Linked DNA regions of Mytilus edulis. The protein of the gene in region 1 purifies or fractionates together with the protein of each later gene. This does not show direct contact. Links are inferred from orthologs where the notes say so. Each region holds a gene or a part of one and is shown on either strand. Other genes may lie near its edges.

Evidence for each region.
Region 2: the proteins of eukaryotic translation initiation factor 2-alpha kinase 3-like (region 1) and transducin beta-like protein 2 purify together in Homo sapiens (affinity purification with western blotting; 3 studies listed by BioGRID). This does not show direct contact. The link is inferred for Mytilus edulis from reciprocal best matches to the Homo sapiens genes EIF2AK3 and TBL2.

What each region holds. Positions count from the first base shown.
Region 1 is NC_092347.1:88,472,032-88,483,807, forward strand, and holds the start of eukaryotic translation initiation factor 2-alpha kinase 3-like, read left to right. Parts: upstream 1-6,192; 5' UTR 6,193-6,328; coding exon 6,329-6,549; intron 6,550-9,071; coding exon 9,072-9,201; intron 9,202-9,490; coding exon 9,491-9,688; intron 9,689-11,440; coding exon 11,441-11,574; intron 11,575-11,776. UniProt on the Homo sapiens protein: Metabolic-stress sensing protein kinase that phosphorylates the alpha subunit of eukaryotic translation initiation factor 2 (EIF2S1/eIF-2-alpha) in response to various stress, such as unfolded protein response (UPR).
Region 2 is NC_092349.1:58,946,520-58,957,675, reverse strand, and holds the start of transducin beta-like protein 2, read right to left. Parts: upstream 5,144-11,156; 5' UTR 5,089-5,143; coding exon 4,965-5,088; intron 1-4,964. Other genes in the region: DNA polymerase delta subunit 4-like, read left to right, coding at 5,489-5,576, 8,459-8,551, 9,155-9,266, 10,629-10,653.

The DNA of each region.
Region 1 (11,776 bases):
AAATATACTGTATATTAAAGAATCGTGTTTGTCTGTTTGAGTAGTTTTATGTGTGCATGTGTGTGTTTTTGTTTTCAGAAAATGAATTAATGTTATACATTGTAACTATTTTTCATGCATCCTTTTGTGTCACATGATAAATTCTGAAAAAAAATCTGTGTTAAGTGCTTTTTAAAGTCGAAATGTCATTATAAGGTTGTGACTTATTAACTCATCATAGTCTAGATACCAGGATTCTTATTCAAAAGACTTATTAGTTGCCCTCGAATAAAAAGTTACAAGGTCAAATAAAACAAAAAGTTCAAGAGCGATGAGGGCCCAAAATTCAGCAAGATTTTGCCAAATACTGCTAGTTAGGAAATCTATTCTTGAGGTAGAAAATCATTTGTTTTTCTATAAAAAAAAAAAAAAAAAAAAAGAAATACGTTTGGTAAACAGTTGAATATAATATAGGGTTATTGCATGAATATTGGGGAATATTGTCCCGAGTAGAATTTTATATTGCACGAGCTTGCGAGTCCAATATATGTTCTACGAGGGACAATATTCCCCAATATTCATGCAATAACCCTTTTATTGTATAGCAATATAATATTTGAAAGTAAAAATTGGTTTAAAATAATATTTTGTCATTGATGACGTCATGAATTTTGAAGATTTATTGCACTAGTGCAATAATAGAATTTATTGCACGATAACTTTTGGTTACTTTCTGTTGGAAATATTATATTGCTATACAATAATAAATGATATTGTGTCAAATACGAATTTTATCATATCATTTTCAATCATGTCTAATCAATTCTGAAAATAGGTTATCAGTTTATATGAATTCTATTTAGATATTTATAATATTATCTCGGTCGACAGTTTTACATGTATAAACCGTAAAAAAAAACTTTCTATTTCCTTCAATAAACTTCTAATATGATCATAAATTATTACGTCTACTGGTGTTTTAGGGTGCTAAATCAAGCAAATGTGAATATATCTTGAACTACATGTTTTGATTGCATTTGAATTCTGCACGAATATTTCCCAGGCATTGCACTAGTTCACATCCATGTGTTATTATCATAATTATACAGTATTTTAACAGCAGATTATATAATATTAAAATTACCCTAAGAGCTATACATCATATATCAATTCACATATACAAGACTCATACAAGTATTTATAATAAAATATCAATTTTTTAGCATATGAGAATCGAACAGTTATAACTTTTATCAGATGCAAAAGAGATGATAAGATTTATAAAAATCTTAATTAAAATAGCTTACATATGCATGAAACTATGCTTTAAAATTTGCTGATGAACAACATTTTTTTTTTAAATGGGCATGGTAAAATAAAAAGTCAACAAAACAGTACAAATAAAAATGAATTAGAAATTCAAAAATTTCAGTTATGAATTTAAAAAAATAATCATATCTGATCCCTTTTTATATAAAAAAAAATATGTGCAGACATACATGTAAAACAAAAACATAATGGTTTACAAACATAGATAAATAAATATTCTAATTATTGAATGTCTATCGAAGAAAAAATCCGAACAGTACACAATCGTGCTGAATTATTGATAAACAGACTTTCAAGGCTTAAAGAAATTTAATCAGACAAGTCGAAAAGAAAGCCTCTCAAGCAACACGTACGAATTTTTTTTAAACTCATACCATTAGAGATGTAACGAAATCACTAATAAATGATCTAATTTGTTGTCTATATTCAACTATTTTTACTACTGCTAAAAAATAATAGGCGTGATAACGAACAAAAGACGAAATTCGAATATATTCTAAAGTTATGACAATCCTAAGACCAACTTAAGACACCTAAATTGGTATCCTAAAGTTAGGACAATTCCTAGGATTTTCCTTAGTTGCGACATGTTTGATAAACCCAATAGGACTAAGATGTGTCCTAAGTTGGTCTAAGGACACGTCCTAATCCTAAGAGAGCTTCGATAAACAGGCCCTTGGGTCCTCAAATTGACATACTCTTCAACTTCGTACTTTTATTTTATTTTATTTTCATTTTAGCGAGATTAATAAGACTTCTGACGAAATGTACGTCTGATGTTAAATTGTTTAAGTCTGTTAAGTATGGTGTTAACTATGATACACACAGCAGACCAGCAAGGCATATGAATAGCAAGTCACGCCAAAAGCTAGCTCGATGTTTACCTATTTCAATATTTAACATTTATTAGATCTATATAACAACAAAAAAGTATGCTAAGATTAAGCACGCATTGTAGAATAAGAAGCATTTACAAGTTACGTATTTTAGAAAGCTGTAACATACATTATGAGAAAATAAAACGGCGGAATTAAAACAATACGAGTAAAAAGGTGTATACAGCCTATGACAAGGCGGTGACTAGTTTTCCAATAAGGATCTTCAATAATCAGGGAACTAAAAATCAAAACACAGGATCAAAATTATAAAAAAAAACAGTCAAAGTTACCCAATTCTACTTGATTTTACAATTCTATTTGTTTTTCTGTAATGGTGTACTCCTCTGTTCGGGATATGGGAGTTGAACGCTCACACTCGAGTTTGTTGTTGGTTGATTGGGGAGTTGAACGCTCACAATCGAGTACTCCTCTGTCCGGGATTGGGGAGTTGAACGCTGACATTCGAGTTTGTTGTGGTTGGTAGATGTCTGTCATAGTTATGTATTTCGTTTAATATTGTAAAATATATCAAACACTCGTATTTCTCGTTTGAATTGTTTTACAATCTGTCATCCCAGGGCCATTTTAAAACTGTACTACTAACTTATACAGTATTTGTTTCGCACATTGCTGACGGCTGTTAAAGTACTGTGACATGTACTGGATCCCATATTTGTCCTTTCTTCGTTAATGGGATAATGACAATCATACCACAACTCAGAACTTTTATTTTATTATGTATCTTACAATATGCCTGCAACAAAAATTGAAAGAAACATGTATTATTCATGATACATACCTGATACATGAACACACAAAATACGAACGATAATAACATTTGATATCGTACAGAACATATATACATTGCACAAAAGTCAGGTTAACAAATGGTTTCTGCTTGTCAATGTAGACTGAATTGCATTCTTGTCTTACATATACAAGACTTTCTAAACATTATAAAAGGCTTGTATGTGCTAAATATCATCATAACAACACTGTATGTGCTTTATGTATGCTAAAGCAAACCAAGATCTATAAAGGCTTTACTATGTTGTTGAAGATATAGCAATTGTTTACAAATTAAAGCTTAACTGCTCGAATACATTGAATATAAAAAAGAAGGTGTCGTCTGATTGCCAATGAGACAACTCTCCACAAGAGACCAAATAACATAGTATAACACATGTAATTACAAACTAAAGGTCACCATACGACCTTCAACAATTTGAGCAAAGCCCATACTGCATACATTAACTTATACAAGGCCCCCAAATGACAAATGTAAAACAGGTCAATCGAGAAAACTCACGGTCTAATCTATGTACAAATTAATGAACGAAAAACAAATATGATACACACCATAAAACGACAATCACTTGATTACAGGCTCCTGACTTTGAACAGACATGCACATACAGGAATAAGACTATTTTCAGCATGTTAGCAGACTGAGGTAACATTGTAAAAAAAAATTCTAGAAGGAAAGCCAGTCATCCATATGCCGGGATGTCATGTTATTATAGCAGAAAACTTTTACAATTTAAAATAACAAAACAGTGCAGTGGTGGACCCAGAACTTCAACAATTTGAGCAAAGCCCATACTGCATACATTAACTTATACAAGGCCCCCAAATGACAAATGTAAAACAGGTCAATCGAGAAAACTCACGGTCTAATCTATGTACAAATTAATGAAAGAAAAACAAATATGATACACACCATAAAACGACAATCACTTGATTACAGGCTCCTGACTTTGAACAGACATGCACATACAGGAATAAGACTATTTTCAGCATGTTAGCAGACTGAGGTAACATTGTAAAAAAAAATTCTAGAAGGAAAGCCAGTCATCCATATGCCGGGATGTCATGTTATTATAGCAGAAAACTTTTACAATTTAAAATAACAAAACAGTGCAGTGGTGGACCCAGAACTTTTTAAAGGGGGCACTAAGCGGCCTAAGGGCATGTCCCCCTCCCCAGTTCAGGTTACCAACAAAAGTTTTAACATAATTTTATTAATACTGAATCTTTATTTAGAATTAATTACAGTTTGATTTGTAAAACTGGCCGTTAATCCCATCTCCAACATACTTGAAACTGACAACGCCATGGCTAAAAATAAAAAAGACAAACAGAAAAACAATAGTACACACGACACAACATAGAAAATTAAAGAATAAACAACACGAACCCCACCAAAAACTAGGGGTGATCTCAGGTGCTCCGGAAGGGTAAGCAGATCCTGCTCCACATGTGGCACCCGTCGTGTTGCTTATGTGATTACAAATCCGGTAAATAGTCTAATTCGGTAGGTCATATTCATGAAAGGGAAGGGGATTGTAGTTACGACGTAAGGAACATATCCGATATCATTTGTGAAACGGTTATTCCATAACGGTCAACCAACTCGTGATGGCGTCCTTAAAATTTTCGAAGGGATGATTTCAACTTCACCATTTGGAACTCTTGGTTTAATAGCTTCCTTGTGAGCAGCAAACCTCTATCAAGAAAATCATGATAGGAAATGCAAGCACGGGAATATCGTATCAATTGGGAGATATATACCCCGTATGCAGGTGCTGCTGGAATGTTGCTACTTAGAAATGGAAAGTTCACAATTGGAAAGCTGAAATCATCTCTTTTGTCGTAAAGTTTTGTTTTCAACCGACCCTCATTGTCAATTTCTAGATGTAAGTCAAGATATGAAGCCGACTTAACTGTATCTGTAGTATCCTTTATCTCTAGTTCGATTGGATAGATGCGTTCCACATACTCACCAAATTTTGAATTGTTTAGTGAAAGAACATCATCTATATAGCGGAAAGTAGAGTTAAAGGATATTGCTAACTTTTTATCTTTCTTCCTAAGAAGTTTCTGCATGAAGTCCAAGCATACAGTAAATTATGAATCAATTATCGTATATCTATTTTTCTTGTTCCATGTATGAGGCCATGGATGAGGATATGAATGGTTTTTACAGGGCAAAAAAAAAACGTCATTAGATGCCGGACCAAAACTAAAGATAACAAAATAAGGAAATGGTGAAATTAAAATGTGAAGAATATAATAATTGATTTTGGTTGCCTAATCATCAGTGTCCAGTGGCAAATATAGGCATGTTTAGGAAAAATCTAAGAGATAAACAAATATAGGATAGAGCGAAAAATAGCAGGACCAAAACTGAAGATAACAGAATAAAAGATGATATTATTGAAAGTATATTGCGATGATTGATTTTTGCTGTCTAATGTCCAGTGGCAAATTATCTGACCCCCCTTTTTAACCACCACCACCACACATACCACAACCATTACCACCAAAAGTCACATATATCGGTATCTCTATACAGATATCGATGTTTGGGTGCTCCCCCCCCCCCCCCCCCAAGAAAACGAGGTTCTGGATACGCCCCTGTCTTTGTATATTTTGAAAATATCACTGCTGGGTCACATTGTGTCAGATATAAATATATAGGCCGGGAAAACCAATCGTATGATAATCGAAATTTCGTACGTTTTTCAGAGACTAGTGTCTGTCGTAAATAACATATCTACTCCATTCCGGAGTTAAAATTTTGCCAAAAACTTTCAAAAATATAAAGGTTGCCAGATTTAAAATTAAGACCAAGGATTTGTCTGTATAGTTTGTCTTTTAAAAGACGCAAAAATAACAACAAAAATTTCAGTAAATTTACTAAAAGATAATTTTTTAATATATTTTTTTGGCCAAATAATTAAAGATATTTGAAATGCAAAATAACATCGGTATTGAAAAAAAAGTATACTGGGAGTTCTGACTACTAAAATCAGAGACATATAATTATTAACGGGAACTTTCGCTTCTTTATAAGCAACAAAATTCGTTTTCTGTTATCAGGGTTGTTAAAAAATGTTGTTTGTCGTTTATTAATGCATTTTTAGTATGTTAAATTTGGATTTTTTTGATTTTTTTAAAGTCAGCTGAGCTGGGACTAGGTTATAAATAGATTAGGGGAAAACCTAAAACCAATCGTATGACAATCGGAAGTGTCGCTTTGACCACGTCGACTTAGGTGATCTCATTTCCGGTGTAAACACTTGGACTGTTTTCAACAGATTATCTTACGTCAGATGTAAATGTAGATTTTTGTATTGTAAATGGGAAGAAGACGAAGTAAACGATGGAATTCGTGTATGATTTGGTTTGCTACGTCGGTTGGAGCTCTGTTTTATACGATCAGTTGCATCAAAGCCGCGGATGATATTGACACCTCGAGATCTGTCGATTCTGGAACCTACTATGATTTTCCCAGGGAACCCGAAATTACTGGTCAAAGATCATCCTCCTGTGTGGCAAAACCTCCGTCTGTTCTAAATAAGTAAGTAATTATAATTGCAAATATTGAAAAAAAATCATCTCATAAATCATTTATTTGCATTCATCTGACCATGCTGACAGACCTACCCACTGCCAGTACAGTGTACTGGTTTTGTCGACTGACATGCTACAATATGTACTTGTAATCAAAAGAACGAACATTGGACATTTAAAAGATTACAGTAAGCACTCTTGAGATACAACAAATTATCTCCCCTTGATTGCTTGTCTTTGTGACTAGTATTTACACTGTTTGTACAAAAGTCTTCTGTTTATTTTTTATTTTTTATTCTCCCAGAGCATTGACCTCTGCATTTATGCAGCAAAAGGCTCAACTGCAAGGCATGTTTTTAAGCCGGTTTAGTTTTTGTATACAGTGGGCAAATGCTGCATGATCCACAACAGAATATACTCTTTTAATATAGACCGTTAACATTTAAGTTGACTGTACATGTATACTGACTGATATAATACAGAAAAATAATTGAGTAGTCCTGTGTACAGTTTTCAAGATTCAAAGTTTTATTTAGAGTTGATATTCAATAAACTACATACATGTAACACAAGCTCTAGTGAGCTTTTCAAGTATTTACTGGAGAAAAAAATAATACTTTGTTGTTATTTCAGCAAAGTGTAAGTTAGAACTTCCAAAACATAAGCAAGAACCTGAATAATCTGAATTTACAAAGGGGTCCAACAAAGGAAAATAATATTTTGTAGAATGATTCACCATGCAATATCTTCTTAATCTGGTGGTTATGACCTGTTAATCTTGTTTACTTGTGGCTTCTGACTTAGGGCAGGCGCATATTGACATATAGATATATTGTTCCCAGATCCAGTACGAAAAATCTTCATTTTTTTATGTAAAGCAAAACAAATTAATTTACTACATCATGTACATGTTTACCTTAGAAAAGAATAAACTGTGAACATTAAGATAAGGCTGCATTTGTGTAAACTAATTTTTCTTCTATTGAAGTTTCAAGAATTAGTCTTCATGCATACAGTGTATTATTAACACAAATAATTACCATGCACAATGTTGAACAATTATAAACTGTATCATGTGTATTAAACGATGTTAAAAATTGAACAAAAAACTGCTACATACACATGATATGCAACTTTTGTGATATCTAGCTGGTTGGAACACATGTTTTCTTTTTAAATTAGGAATATTTTGTCAAATGGCTTTAAAAAAAACTCTTTACAATAAGAAATGGAATTAATTCTGCGGACTTGTTGTACATGTAATATATAATTCAAAGAGAAACTTGACTATAATTATGTAATAAAATAAAAGCAATGAATTCATTGCTATTTTGTAACCTATTAATTCAAACATGTCAAAACCTCAGTTTCTTTCATTTTTTTTTTTTTTTCCACACTTTTTTTATCTTATTTTAAAGCTTAATTTAATCTGCATTTAATACCATTATTCATTGTTTGCCGCCTACATTGTACATGTATTGTATAAACAATAAGTACATGTTCATCCTGATAAAGATATTTATGTATTCAATAATACCAAATATAGAAATAACCATGGCCACCACTTTAAGTGAGAAATTTTTCCTCAAAATTTGAGCTTTGTAAATATTTAAATCAAATCAAATGACTATTCATGAAGTGTAGCTTTTTATAGTCAGACAAAGCCATGAACAATATTTGTCTAAGATTTAATTATTTACAAATTAGTTAAGTACAAATGTCTTCAAGTAAACAAAGTATTTTACGTAGACAAATTCACAATACATGTACTGTATATACCACAGTGGAACCCAATAGTAAAAAAATGTAGGCACTTATGATACTTTACCTAAAATTTATTGAAAAAATGCTTTAGTTCAGACACAAATAAGGCTCAATGTATGAATTTACTGGACAGTATTAATTATTAATGTTCTCCAATACACAACCAAAATCAGAATTAGTATCTCAAAGGTATTTTTTATACTGATCCTGTTGAAATGAGTTTCCGAGGTTAGGGAGGTTGTGTGGCAGCTAACATGTTTAACCCCAACATATTCTGTATGTGCCTGTCCAAAGTCGGGAGCCTGTAAACATGATAAATCAGTTGTTGTTGTGTGTTGGCGTTTAACATTTGTATTTCATTATTGTTTTTAATGTCATTTTTTGGCCTTTTATAGCTGACTATGCAGTTGGGTTTTTCTCATTTTTAAGGCCGTACAATGATCTATAGCTGTCACATTGGCAATACACTGTAATACCAAATCTTCCTATTTGTACATTGTATAAGGTAATATATTAAAATTTGGTAAACATGATGCATTATAGAAGAAGGTCCAATTTCCACTGTATCTGTTTTATTCAGACAATCATTGACATTCTGTATTGAATCAATTCAGTATAAACATGAAATATTAAATATAATAAGGAACAAATGTTACTTTTGAAGATATGCCAGTTTGTTGTGTATATACATTGTAAGAGAACAAATGTTTTCAAATACAATGTATTATGAAGGTTAAAAATGATCATTAATTGTATATATTGTAGATTTCTGATGGTAGTGAGTACTCTAGATGGCAAAGTTTCAGCATTAGATGTACAGGATAGTGGCAAGATACTATGGAGTGTTGATGCTGATACTAGACCCCTGTTGTCATCCAGTATAGGAAACTTAGAGGTAGGTACAAGTCAAAATTCTTCAAAAAACATGTTGGAGTGTGGAATTAAGCTACAGTGTAACCTGCTTAATCTGACAACTGAGTATTTCAACATCCTGGTTTTAGCCGACACATTTTCATGGTCCAAAAATATGCCTGTTCTTGTAGAAAAAATTCCGACACCCTGCTTAATCTGACATTTTTTCTGCTCCCCTATGTGTTGTATATCTTTTGTCTATTAATTCTTGATAAATGATCTAATGCAATGCCTCATTAATATACTTTACCTTTATGTTTCTTTTTCTTCAGATAACAAGAAATGGAATGAAAACACGACTGATACCCTCTCTTGATGGTGGTTTGTACCAGTATGATGGAGAGAGTATCGAGGCTGTTCCCCTGTCTGCAGAAACACTACTTAGCTCGTCATTTAAGATGACAGAAGATATAACTATGATTGGTGGCAAAGATTTATTATCGTATGGTTTAGACCCCCTTTCTGGTCAGGTAATAATTTAATCTTCATGTTTTATTGCGAACCCTATCTTAGTTTTCCATAGATTCACCTGCAAGTTACCTGTCCATTTAAACTTTTGTAAGTCCTATTGTCCCATCTAACAAATACAACAGGTATTGTTCTCTGTGTAGTTTATTCACTGGGACCTTTAAATTTCTTCTAGGAGAAATATATCACTCATTGATTAATTTACCTGACCAAAAAATTATCTTCTTTTTTATTGAAATACTTCTAATAACTCACATAAACTGTATGCAATATTGTATTTATTCAATATTATCATTAATATATTTTCAATCTGTTCAATATAAAATCTGGTTTAATACTAAAAAGTTTATTTCAGACACATTTTTTAGTATTTTCCAATGAATTTACATGTTTTTGTTGTTGTTCATTTATAGACTTATGTTTATGAAGACCTTAATTTAAAAATAATAATATTCAATTTTTTATTTATCAAACACACAAAAATATTGAATATTTGATCAGAAATCAACTTTTAATTTTTGAATCAGTATTACAAATGTAATATTGAACACATTAAAAACGAGTTACTCCAGGTATCTAATAAATACAACACCACATGCAGTTTTGTGAGTCCTTACTTAGTATTGGTATAAGTATTTTTTCTTCATTGACAGTTCAATTTTTTACTCAGGTAGATTAATCAATGAGTGATATATTTCTCCTAGAAGAAATTTAAAGGTCTGAGTGAATAAACTACACAGAGAACAATACCTGTTGTATTTGTTAGATGGGACAATAGAACTGCCAAAAGTTTAAATGGACAGGTAACTTGCAGGTGAATCTATGGAAAACTACGATAGGGTTCGCAATAATAGAGGAGTAAAGATAACACAAGAAATATTTTTTTTAAAAATGCAATTTTTCCGAAAGATTGATTCATGTACCAGTACTGTAGTATGTCATGTAAAGAAATAATTTCTGAATGTCCCCATCCAACTTCCAAGCAAGGACCAAAGCTCATAAACTCGGCAATCAAACATTAAACACAGGACTTCGGGAATGTCCGGAGAGTCGACAACCTTGCTTTGGAAGTTGGTCCCCGTTCTGATGTTTACATGATTTGATTTAGAGGGCATATACTTTCAAAAAAGAGATAAAAAGAGTCAAAAACTGAAATGAAATAGATTTTGCCATTTAATTTACAATCTTAACACGGAAGACGCACAATTTGTTGGCAACACTGACTATTTACCATATTTAAGACTTATTGAATTATTTAAACATGTTAAAGGGAGAAAATTCATAAACATTTTTTAGCTGATAGAAATATATATGAATAAAAAGAAATGAGGTGAACATTGATGAGAAAGCAACCAAACAAATCAAATTTGACCAAAACAAGGGCAAGGTCACCATACAGTGGTAATAAGTGAACAAAAACTAGTATAACAACTAATTTTCTGTGTATGCAACATAAATGATATATAGAATATAATAATTTGCAAAGGAAAACATTGTAAATGTATTTACTTATTTAGAAAATATTTTTAAAGATATTATTAAATTGACTGTCTTGTAACCTGTACAAGTCAATGCATGTTATAAAATTTTGCCATGATAGGTTGATATTCACATGCTGGTAGAAAACATTTTAAACGTTATGTTTATAGTTTGAATAAAATATTTAAAAATAATAGATGATTAACTTGCATTTTATAGTTTAGAAGTATAAACAAATTTTGTGTATTTATAGTATAATATGTTCATTACTATAGCTGAAGTACACATGCAGTGCTCATGGCTGCCATACATTTGGTGATTCCATGGTAACGGAAGAGGAAGATGTCCTTGTTGTTACTAGAAATACACAAACTGTAAGAGCCGTTGATTCTAGAGTAGGAATGGAAAAGTAAGTTAGGTCCAAGCACTTCAGTTACAGAACTTTACCAAAAATGTCACCATCTTCAAGATAATATTTGCCGCTAATGGCCATGGGGAAAAACACGTTCATATATTTTAACATAATTTAATTTTTAAGCAATACCCTATAAAATGACAATAAATATGGTAGATACAATAAAACAGTTGTCTTTGCTATTATGTGCAGCATA
Region 2 (11,156 bases), on another chromosome or scaffold:
ACAAAAGGCAATTATGGTAATCAGATGGCCATCCCAATGATTTTTGAAAAAACGATATTAAACTTTACTTTGATATGACTTTGATGTTCTGACGTAAACTGTTAAATTGGCAGTGCATCATTCGAAGTGTGCGCAAAGCGTGATCATATCTGCCCAACTTAGATTCTTTATTTGTGCCAAAAGACGTTGTCAAAAACTTTACTTTCTTTTTTAAAATCACATTTTCGTAATACCGGATGTTTACTTGACAGTGTTAAAACATGGACCAGAAACGGATATGTTAAATCAGTGTACGTTTACAAAGCATGACTGAGCGAAGAAGCTCTTTCCACGTTATTTCTTCAACAAAATACTTGAAATGAACGTAAGGTACAGGTACTAAAGATAATTTTTGAATTTTTGAAGAAATGTAGGATACATAATTAAATTTCCCACCTGTGCACATGCGCACACATGTTCTAGTTCATACAACGTAGTTCTGACGATTGTTTCATTTAAAACCTTATTGAATTTTTCGTCAAATCATGTTTATAAACATATTTCTTAGAATTTTATTCTTTTAGCATGTTTAGACTACATTTTTGTAAATCAATTAGATACAAACCGCTGAAATGTAAGAAAATAGTTTACCTGTCACCTGAACAGGTAGATTTCAGCTAACTAATTAGCCTTGATTAAAATTAGAAAGTATTTAAGTAGAGGCTGTTTTGATAGTAGTTAATCATCTGTCACTTTTATGACCGGAAATGTGTGGCTGTTAAAGGCAAAATGTTGGGTCAAAAAGATTGTGTTTATGTTAAAATGAACGTCTAGTAAGAAAGCCATGAAAACTAAAAAGTAGATGATCGTTTCATGGGCAATATAGGAAAGGTGTACTGACATAAGTAGTCTCTAAACACATTAGCTCCAAATGGAGCTTTCGTTAGTAGAAGCCATATTAACTATGTGTATCAGTGAGAAAAATGTAAAAGCATAAAAATATAGTATATATACCAATACACATAATTAACAGCGCCTGGTGATGTTTTATAGCCTGTTACGGTAAACTTTTCAACATTATACGGTAATCATGTGACCTGATGATATAACCATATTTGGGCTTTAGCATTGGGTAAAGGGTGTTTAAATAATTTAAGAAGTACATGGTAATCATTTAGTCTTGATCTTTGGCTTATGATACACCTAAATATCAAGTCTTGGAATAGTATGTCATGGTAGTCATGTGATCTTGATATTTGGCTTATGATACACCTAAATATCAAGTCTTGAAATAGTACTTCCTAGCAGTCATGCAGTCTTGATCTCAGGCTTATGATACACCTGAATATCAAGTCCTGAAATAAACACCCTTTACCCAATGCTAAAGCCCAAATATGGTTATATCATCAGGTCACATGATTACCGTATAATGTTGAAAAGTTTACCGTAACATGTAAAGAAAGTTTACTGTAACATGTACATTAGCTAAATATAGATAACTGTAACCATGGAAAATCCCAACTGAATGGCTAATTGAACCTTTTTAGATATCAACAAGATACTTATTTATCCACTGGATAACTTTGATCCGCCGGTTCGCTCTGAAATGCCGGTTAAATCTCAACCACTGGTTAACTCAACCGCGGGTTAAACAAACCGCCAGTTAAATCTTAACTGCTGGATAACTCAACCGCCGGTTACCATATCTATATAAATAGGGTGCAAACATTAATCCATCATTCTGCCTCTGATGAAGGTCCTTTTCGGACCGAAACCGGTCAGGCTATAAAACATCACCAGGCGCTGTTAATTACGTGTATTGGTCAAGGGTCCGGAAATTTTTTCACCTAATTTCGGTCATTTTTGGATAACTTAAAAGTTGGTGCCCTTTTTCAAACAAAGATTGTGTGTATGCTCATACAGTCATACTCGTAGCATCAAGGAACTTGTTTAACTGTTGCACCGCATTTACTTCAGAAATTTCCCTACTATTTTCCTTAAAATCTTGAGCAATAAAAGGAAGGCAACAGTTTAAAAATGAAATGATTTTAATGACTCAAAACGATAAATTTCTCAAACTTCGCTTACGTTTCTTTCGATTTGAAGACAAAATTATAACCGGATGTTTTACGACAATAGTAAAACGACCAATTACGGACTCATTTCCGGGATTAGTTTTGTTTATCAAATTCACAGGAAATCGTCGGCTTTTTAACTGTTTTACCTTTAATAGTGTTTGAATATTAATTATAATAGTTGGACTTGTTTAATTTAGCATGAAATCATTTTGAATTTACGATTTAGTGTCTTTTGTGGAAGAGAATTTCAAGATTGCCTATTAGTAAACAAAGCACATGTGTTTGTAGTGAAACAATATTTTGTTCTACGTAAATTAATTTAATTTTAATTTAATTTTAAATCAGAATTGACAATTGTCTAAGCTGAGAAAAGTAATTAAATAATGCAGACAGTTGTTATGAACTTTTCATTTATTAGTTCTGAGCTTGTGATCAATAAAAAATTTAATTAAAAACACAGGTAAAGAGTCTTAGATTAGCGATCATTAGCCAATATTTCCCAGAGGCATTACTATAGTTATTAGGAGGGCCCTCAGGATTATAACACTTTACTGGAGTGGCAGTTTTATTACAGGAAAGGGATAACAAACAAAAAAAAGTTCAAAATGGCGATTTAGACAATGTTGGAAACTCGATCTCAACGAAATGAAATTTAATGACCGAAATTATTTCTGTAAAAAAATAAAATTTGTCCTAAATCCCAATTACTCATTTAGGACAAAATACTTTCAGTTTAGGTCAAGACTGGCATATATGACCGTTTCCGGACCCTTGGTATTGGTATATATACTATATTTTTAGATGATCGTTTCATGCTTTGTCCAGCCAGACTTTTACCGGACAGAATACAATTGTCCAAAATATATGACCGTTTTGGAAGCCCTGATACAATGTACATAAATTACTTTCTGTATTGCACAAATTCATATCATCCTGTTGTATATTGTAATGATGTGGCTGTATAAAATCTCTTCATAAAAGTAAAGGAATTAAAAGGGGGCGAAAGGTATTAGAAGAAAATTCACTCATCAATCTAAGGAATTAAAAGTTGCCTTGGTCATGTTGGTCTCTTATTTTCATATTCTTATTGATAGTGTTGTTTAACTAAATGTTGTTAAAAAAAACAATACAACCTGTCACCAAACTATGTATATATCTGCCTACCCAACATGAGGAAACTCTTCAGTGGTTGTTTTAAGTTACATATCTAATAAGCATATTTTTTTTATAAAGAATTTGACATAACAACAATTTTACATGACACTTCAAGTCACCTAGTCTTGACAGGAATCCAGGTTGGTTCACCCTGATTCGTGTTCGCCCTAGTACCTGTTCGAATGGACCCAGGGCGAAAGTGTAATCAGGGCGAACAGACCCGATAGTCGATACCATCATGACAGTGACCAAAGTTAAGGTTCATCATACCAAATGGACAAATATGGCTGTATTTTCACCTCAAAAACTACTCTGTGTACAGACTTACTTGTGCTGATTGGAAAGTTTTAAGGCCTAGCATCCACTAGATATATAAAAGTAAAATGCATTTTATATTTAAGAAAGATAAAATCTTTCTTGGTTTTTGATGGGCATTTTTTTCCTTTCTGCAGAAGGTGTAAAAATAAACAAACACCTGAATTACTTTGATACTGTCCACTCACTGACTCAGATAAACTCTTTTTTTACTCACCTGTAGTTGTGAAGATACCTCTTGTCCATGTCAAGTAAGGACAATCAAAACAATACAAACCCATTTTTTACCTGAGGGAGCATCTCAAAGTTGTACCACAACTTAGTTAATTTTCACACCATATGCACGAGGGGAATAAAATGCCCGTCAAAATCCAAAAGAAATTTTATCTTTCTGAACATGCTGAAACACAAAATGCATTTAAATTTTATATATCTAGTGGATGCTAGGCATTAAAACTTTTCCAACTTCACAAGTAAGTCTGTACTCAGAGTAATTTTTTGGCACGTTTATACAGCCATATTTGTGCGTTTGTTATGATGAACTTTAAAAAAAGTATCTGTCAACATAATTTTAATAATTTGCCCTAATCTTGCACAGTGACTGTGTAACAGCCACTATGTTCCGTCAGTTACTCTGTTCCGGTTGAACTTTTCAACTAGTTACTTTATTCCGAGTGCAGTTGAAAAGTTCCGGAAAAAAGTAGCTATTTGAAAAGTCTCGGAACAATGTAGCTAGTTGAATAGTTCTGGTGGAACAGAACAACTAGCTCCTTCGGTCAGAATGTTGCCTTCATAACGGAATAAGTTCTAATTTATTTTCATACATTAATCTGAAATTGATATTTTTAAAAGTACCCATATGAGGAGGAACTTTTGGGCCAGTTTGTTAGTTCCGGTTGTGACTGATTTGCCAAAGAGGAACTTTGCGACTAGTTGATAAGTTCCTTTTGACTTTTGTAATCAGTATCTTGGTTCCACTTTGAAAGGTTCAAATATAATATCTTGCGCTTTTACTTTACACCAATTCTCCAAATGGAACTTTGTGACTGGTTGATAAGTTCCGCTGGAACTTTTGGGCTAGTTTGTTAGTTCCGGTTTTGACTAATTTGGCAAAAAGGAACTTTCTAACCATGCTAACTGCTTGATATGTTCCGTTGGTTTCAACTAGTCACTTTGTTCCGGGAGAACTTTTAAACCAGAGGAAGAACAAAGTAACTAATTAATAAGTTCCTTCGGAACTTTTCGGCTAGTTCTTTCCAACGTCGGAACAAAAGAGCATTTACAACTGTGCATGAATAATAGTTTTTAAGTAAGAATAATGCACTTGAACAGTTCAAATTTCTTCTCAATGAGTATAAAGCTAAAGCTTTAATGGTAAAATTCCATATTTTTTTGTATTCTCAATTTTATCACTTAAGCCCAAAAATAAAATAATACCATCTTCATCCTTTTTGTCTGCACGTCTTCCGACACTGCATAAAAGAACGAATAATAGGACTACAGCTCCAACTGCAGCAGTAACTGCTAACGCCGGTACTGAGTTTTCTGCAGAATCCGCCATGCTGATGAGTTGGAAAATATTTTTCGATATTCCTCTTACTTTTTCATATTTTGTGTGGATATCGCCGAAGATTTACGATCGTTTCAATTTTAAAGATTTTAAAATAAAAATCGAATTTTTGAAATTATTAAACACAATTTTATAAAAATTATATCCTATTCATGATAAACATAATTCAATTCTTCTCATATATAATATGTTAACATGTAAAATTTTAAAAAAAAAGTTAAAATTTTCTTTTATCTTAAAAATAGAGATTTCACCAATTTCGTTTCGTCTAATATTTGGAGCATTAGATAAACCGAGATAAACATTACCTACTTTCGCTTTTGAAGGAAGCTGAGTTTGCAAATTAAAGTGTCAAGTTATAACCTGTAAACATAACCTAAGAAGCAGAACAATGAAAATGGCAACACGTTCTTTCATTACCAATTCTTTCAAGTCTGTCAAGACTCCTAAAGGAAAAGATAAAAAGGAACCAACAAATGGTATTTTAAAAGCTGAATTTATATATATACGTAAAATATATTGATAATTATAAAAACTAGAAGCATATAAAAAATGATAGACCCCTTTAGGGATTCTGACTGCAGAGCAATTTTTTGATTTAACCACTTTGAGAGTGACCAAATCAGAAAATGGCTACTGACTCAGGGGATCCCAAAAGGGATTCAGAAATGTAATCCAACTTAGAAATTGGTAATTTTAACTCATTTATTGTAATACACCTTATCGCTATGTGTCCGCCATTACTGGACATCACACAAGTTCCTGTAAAATGTTGACATGAAAATACAAAATATCTGACACCACAATAGAAAAGTGGTTGTTGTATGATGTCAATAATTCAAGCAGGACAGATTCTTGGGTAAATGGGTAAGCTGGTAATAGTGTATATGTACACATGTAATTAACCATATAATTAAAATTGAGAATGGAAATGGGGAATGTGTCAAAGAGACAACAACCCGACCAAATAAAAAACAACAGCAGAGGGTCACCAACAGGTCTTCAATGTAGCGAGAAATTCCCGCACCCGGAGGCGTCCTTCAGCTGGCCCCTAAACAAATATACATGTATACTAGTCCAGTGATAATGAACGCCATACTAATTTCCAAATTGTACATATATATTGTTACATACACAATCTAACAAGTTGAGATATATAAACACCAAAAGATGGTGACAATTCTAAAAATGAATAACTAACATTAGGAAATGAAAAGTCACCTCTTTTATCATAAATACTGGTATTTAGCTTCCCATTAAGGATATAGATATCAAGATCCAGGAAAGGGCAGTGTTCATTGTTAGTATTAGCATGGAAGTATTATATTGACAGGAACTCTAACAAGCGGACTTCAAACGTTTATAGTGCGATGCCGCAAAATCGTTAAGTATCTGTTATAATGAACTTGACATGTCTTATGGATGCATGGGTTCCGATCAATTTTTTGGAACCTTGTGAATGATTGTAATTACAGAACATACCGAAATAACCAGATGTGTACTTAATTCAAGGAAATGACATTTACCGACCATGTGAATGACAAATATGTTAGTTTTTACAGGATTTGCTGCTTAAAAACAAATAAAAAGAAAATAAACGAAATCCCGCGACTGTTTTCACCAAAAAAAAAAAAAAAAAAAAAAAAACTGAAGAGTAAAAATACTCACAAGCCATAAACATTTCAGTTTAAGTTGCAATCAATTTTAAAATAGTAAGATTTTTATTCATGAGAGAGCCATTGACTAAACATGCGTAACTGTTATATACATGGTAGGCTTGAAAATCATAAAATTCTCATGTAAAGTAAAAGGAAAAGTTTTTATCAGTAATTATTATCGCGTTTTACTGCTAACTTTGACAAATATTTTAATAAAGTGTTTAATGAAAGAATTTCAAACAAAAATTTAATCCAAAAGTTGGCCGGGGGGACGGGGTTAAAAAGCTTTGATCCGAAGAAAATATCAAATATTTTGATTTATTGTTTACTAAAAGTCCAATGGCAAATATTTCATGCAATTAAACAAGAAACAGAAACATAAATTGCTTAGCATACAGTGTAAGATGTCACAGTTCAGAACTGTTAAGCTTTTAAACACATAAATAAATTCTAATTTGGTTTCCATGATAAAAAAAAATTAAACTGCATAGGGCCCATCATGGTGATCGTTCTTTAAATGCATCCAGAAATATTAAAAGCCATCCTTAAAAATAAATCTGTCAGACGTCAGATCGAGTAATCTCGGACTAGGTTGAATATTTAAGGTTGTTTACAACTTTGGAATTATCATAAAAGGTGTAACAATTCATCTGCATGTCTCGTAACCTGATATTGCTATGTAGAGGTCATCACATGTGTGTAATTATTAACCTCTTTTAGTCTTTAAAACATATTTGATAAATAAGTTAATAACATTTTACGATAGAGAAAACCATAAATATTTGTGTAACACTCGATAAAATTTTACAATCTTTAAACTAAAATTTGAGTTATCTGGCACCATCTGGCACACTACAAGCGCATCACATTATTTTCTGTTACCACTCTTACTTCAGAATCATGTAATTTTCATAATCGGATATTTCCTGTTTTCCAAGTTCCAATGATTAAAACATACTCAACAAAACTAAAAATAAGCTTGCCCTTTTTCCGAATGCAGTTAATTTTATTATGTCATTCTGTTAAATATGGACCAATTTTTTCGATCTTTTCAGCGTTGTTCTTCATTTATTGAACGGAAACAGGTGTTGTTGTTTATGTGGCAATTAACAAATAACCACGGGAGTTTCCGTGTTTATTTACATTGGTAGGTAGATAAGACAATCAATATTAAATCAAGTGATAAGACCAGCTTCAGTTAAAAGAACAGGCGAAGGTGGCATCACAGATACCCCACAAAGGAGTTATCACGAACTTGTCAAACTGAGTCGGAACCTTTTATTTTCTTAAAGAAATCAGTGGGATGGGAATGTGCTAATTTTTCGTTGGAGTTACTGTCAATATAATACTTCCATGGTATTAGCTTTATTTAAGGTCAGGTAGGCAGGATAAATCTCTTTAGTGTACATACTGAAATCATTGTTGAGATCCAATATCACCCAAAGGACTAAAAGTGTTATTAAATTTTTGAATCAGATGTTCTTTCGATGGTCTATGCTGATTTTAGTCATAAATTCTAACTCATATTAATACAGAAGTATATAAAGTGTAATTTTCCAAAAAGACCAGTTGAGATGAAAATATTAACAGCAAAAGTTGAACATGTACAATTACAAAAATGTCCAGGTATTAAGTTTTTGTTGAATGATATGAATTTCATTGATTTATTTTCACATGTGCATTATCTTTATTTTGTATTCCAGATGGCCATCCAAGCACAAGTAAAACAGATGTAGAAGATGAATTGAAAATACTGAGGCATTTTGATGTCACATTAGAATTTGGTCCATGTTCAGGTATATATTGTTTTATAGAATGATATTCCATCATTAAACAAATTCATATTTGTTTGCCCCTGAAGTGGAGAGGGTATTTAGTTTTACCCTTGTCCAACTGTACATCTGTCCCTACTTTCATACATCCCGAAATTGGTTCCGTTCTCTATCTTTAGCTTGCCACAACCAAATGTTATGAAACTAATACACAATACTTATTACCACAAAAGGACAGATAAAGTTTGAATTTGGGTGGGGTTCACTTTTACCTTTCTAGAGTTGTGCCCCTTTACCAAAACAAATTTTTCATTTCTATTCCCTAACTTCAGTTTGTCTCATTCAAATGTTATGAACCTTATACCCAATACTTATTACCACAAACCACAGACCAAGCACGAATTTAGGTAGAATCACTTTTACAGTTAATGAGTTATGACCCTTTATAGTGTAAAATACATCATCTGTGTCTCGTGGAAAATTCCAATCTTATTTATTTTAGGTAATTTCACTCATAGTCTATTTCATGAAAAAGAATATGCTTCTAATATAGCTTTCATCATCCAATGTTCAACATACCACATAAAGTCAATAAAGTTAACCTTTTACATACATTGTACATTTTAGGAATAACAAGAATGGAAAGATGGAAGAGAGCAGATAAACACGGCCTGAATCCTCCAGTCATTGTAAAGGAAATCCTAGATAAACATTTAGACGATGAAGAATACACAGAATGGTGAGATATATATAATATTGTCAGAAAAATAGTTCATATATACATGATATATATAATATTGTGAGACAAAAAAGTTCATATTATAGGGTTATTGCATGAATATTAGGGAATAGAGTAAAATTTTATATTGCACGAGCTTGCGAGTGCAATATATGTTCTACGAGGGACAATATTCCCCAATATTCATGCGATAATCCTTTTATTGAATAGCAATATAATATTTGTAAGTAAAAATTAGTTTAAACTAAGATTTTGTCTTGATGACGTCATGAATTTTGAAGATTTATTGCACTAGTGCAATATTGGAACTTATTGCACGCTAACTTTTGGTTACTTTCTGTGGGAAATATGATATTGCTATGCAATAAATACACATATTAAATCATATTTTTTTATTGACGAATTTTATTTTAGAAATATTTAAAATAAGGCTACCTCAACTTCTACTTTGAAGTGAAAGTTCATAGGGAAATAGTTTCAATGACGTTTTCCTTTGGGATATAGTTTACCAGAAGCAACAGTTTTCCCCAAATTTATTAATCTTCAGGTGTTTCTAGTTTTGACATTCAGTAACTTCGATATCAATTACAAGTAATGTTTAACATGTTTATCATACTCCACACAGCTGATATATAGCTTTGTTTCTCTTTAAATTGGATCAAGATTTTTTCTTTGACCGTTATGGAATAACTGTTTCACAAATGATATCGGATATGTTCCTTACGTCGTAACTACAACCCCCTTTCCTTTCTTGAATGTAACCTACCAAATAAGACTATTTACCGGATTTGTTATCACATAAGCAACACGACAGGTGCCACATATGGAGCAAAATCTGCTTACCCTTCCAGAACGCCTGAGATCACCCCTAGTTTGGTGGGGTTCGTGTTGTTTATTCTTTAGTTTTCTATGTTGTGTCATGTGTACTATTGTTTGTCTGTTTGTCTTTTTTCATTTTTGGCAATGGGGTTGTCAGTTTATTTTCTATTTATGAGTTTGACTGTCTCTCTGCTATCTTTCATCCCTCTTTTGGTATAACAGAACAGTAAGTGAAGCTTTTAAGTTATTTTCCAATGCTGTACAGTGACTTGAAGTTGTTAGTTTCTGTGACATATTTGGTTTCTTGTGGAGAGACAACTTGTCTCATTGGCAATCATACCAAATGTTCTTATTTTTATTTTCCCCTCGACAAAAAAAAAACATTTCTCTCAGCAGGGCCATAATGAAATTTTTAGTGTCTTGGGAAAAATAAAATGTTTTTTTTTCCTTAATACTGTTGAATAACTGTATAATATTACCAGATAACCTTAGGAACTCAACTAGAATGACCATTGAAATAATGTATAAAATTTTCTTTTTCAGTCTTTGGAAAGACTATCAACTTTAAGGATATGGAAAGAAAATCCACTCACCGTTATGTGTTCAAAACAAGAGACAGAAATGAACCGTAATCTTTATAATAATTTATTGGTATACATGTAAATTGGAAATCCATTTAATCACTCAGGTTATGTGTCATACATAAAAATGTTTTGTTGAAAAATATTTATAGATTTAAAACCCTTTGCAATACAGTACTCTAATATGCTCTTTTAAAATGCACCAATAATTTTAAAGCAGGATTTACCTGATTACAGTTATGCCTACAAGACAACCTTTTCTTAACTTATCTGACATGTGCCCCTCAATAAGAGATAGAATTTGAGACTTAGTTTTGATAAAAAATTATGTCAATTAGTATTGAGTAAATTCATAAAGCGCAAGTCTTTTTTATATGTCCTTTTGAGATCTACAGTAATTTCGATAAACACTTTTGTTAGTGGAATAATAATCATGTTAAATGCTTAAGTTTATGTCTCAGAAAAGGATTTCTAATCTATTCAGTGAACC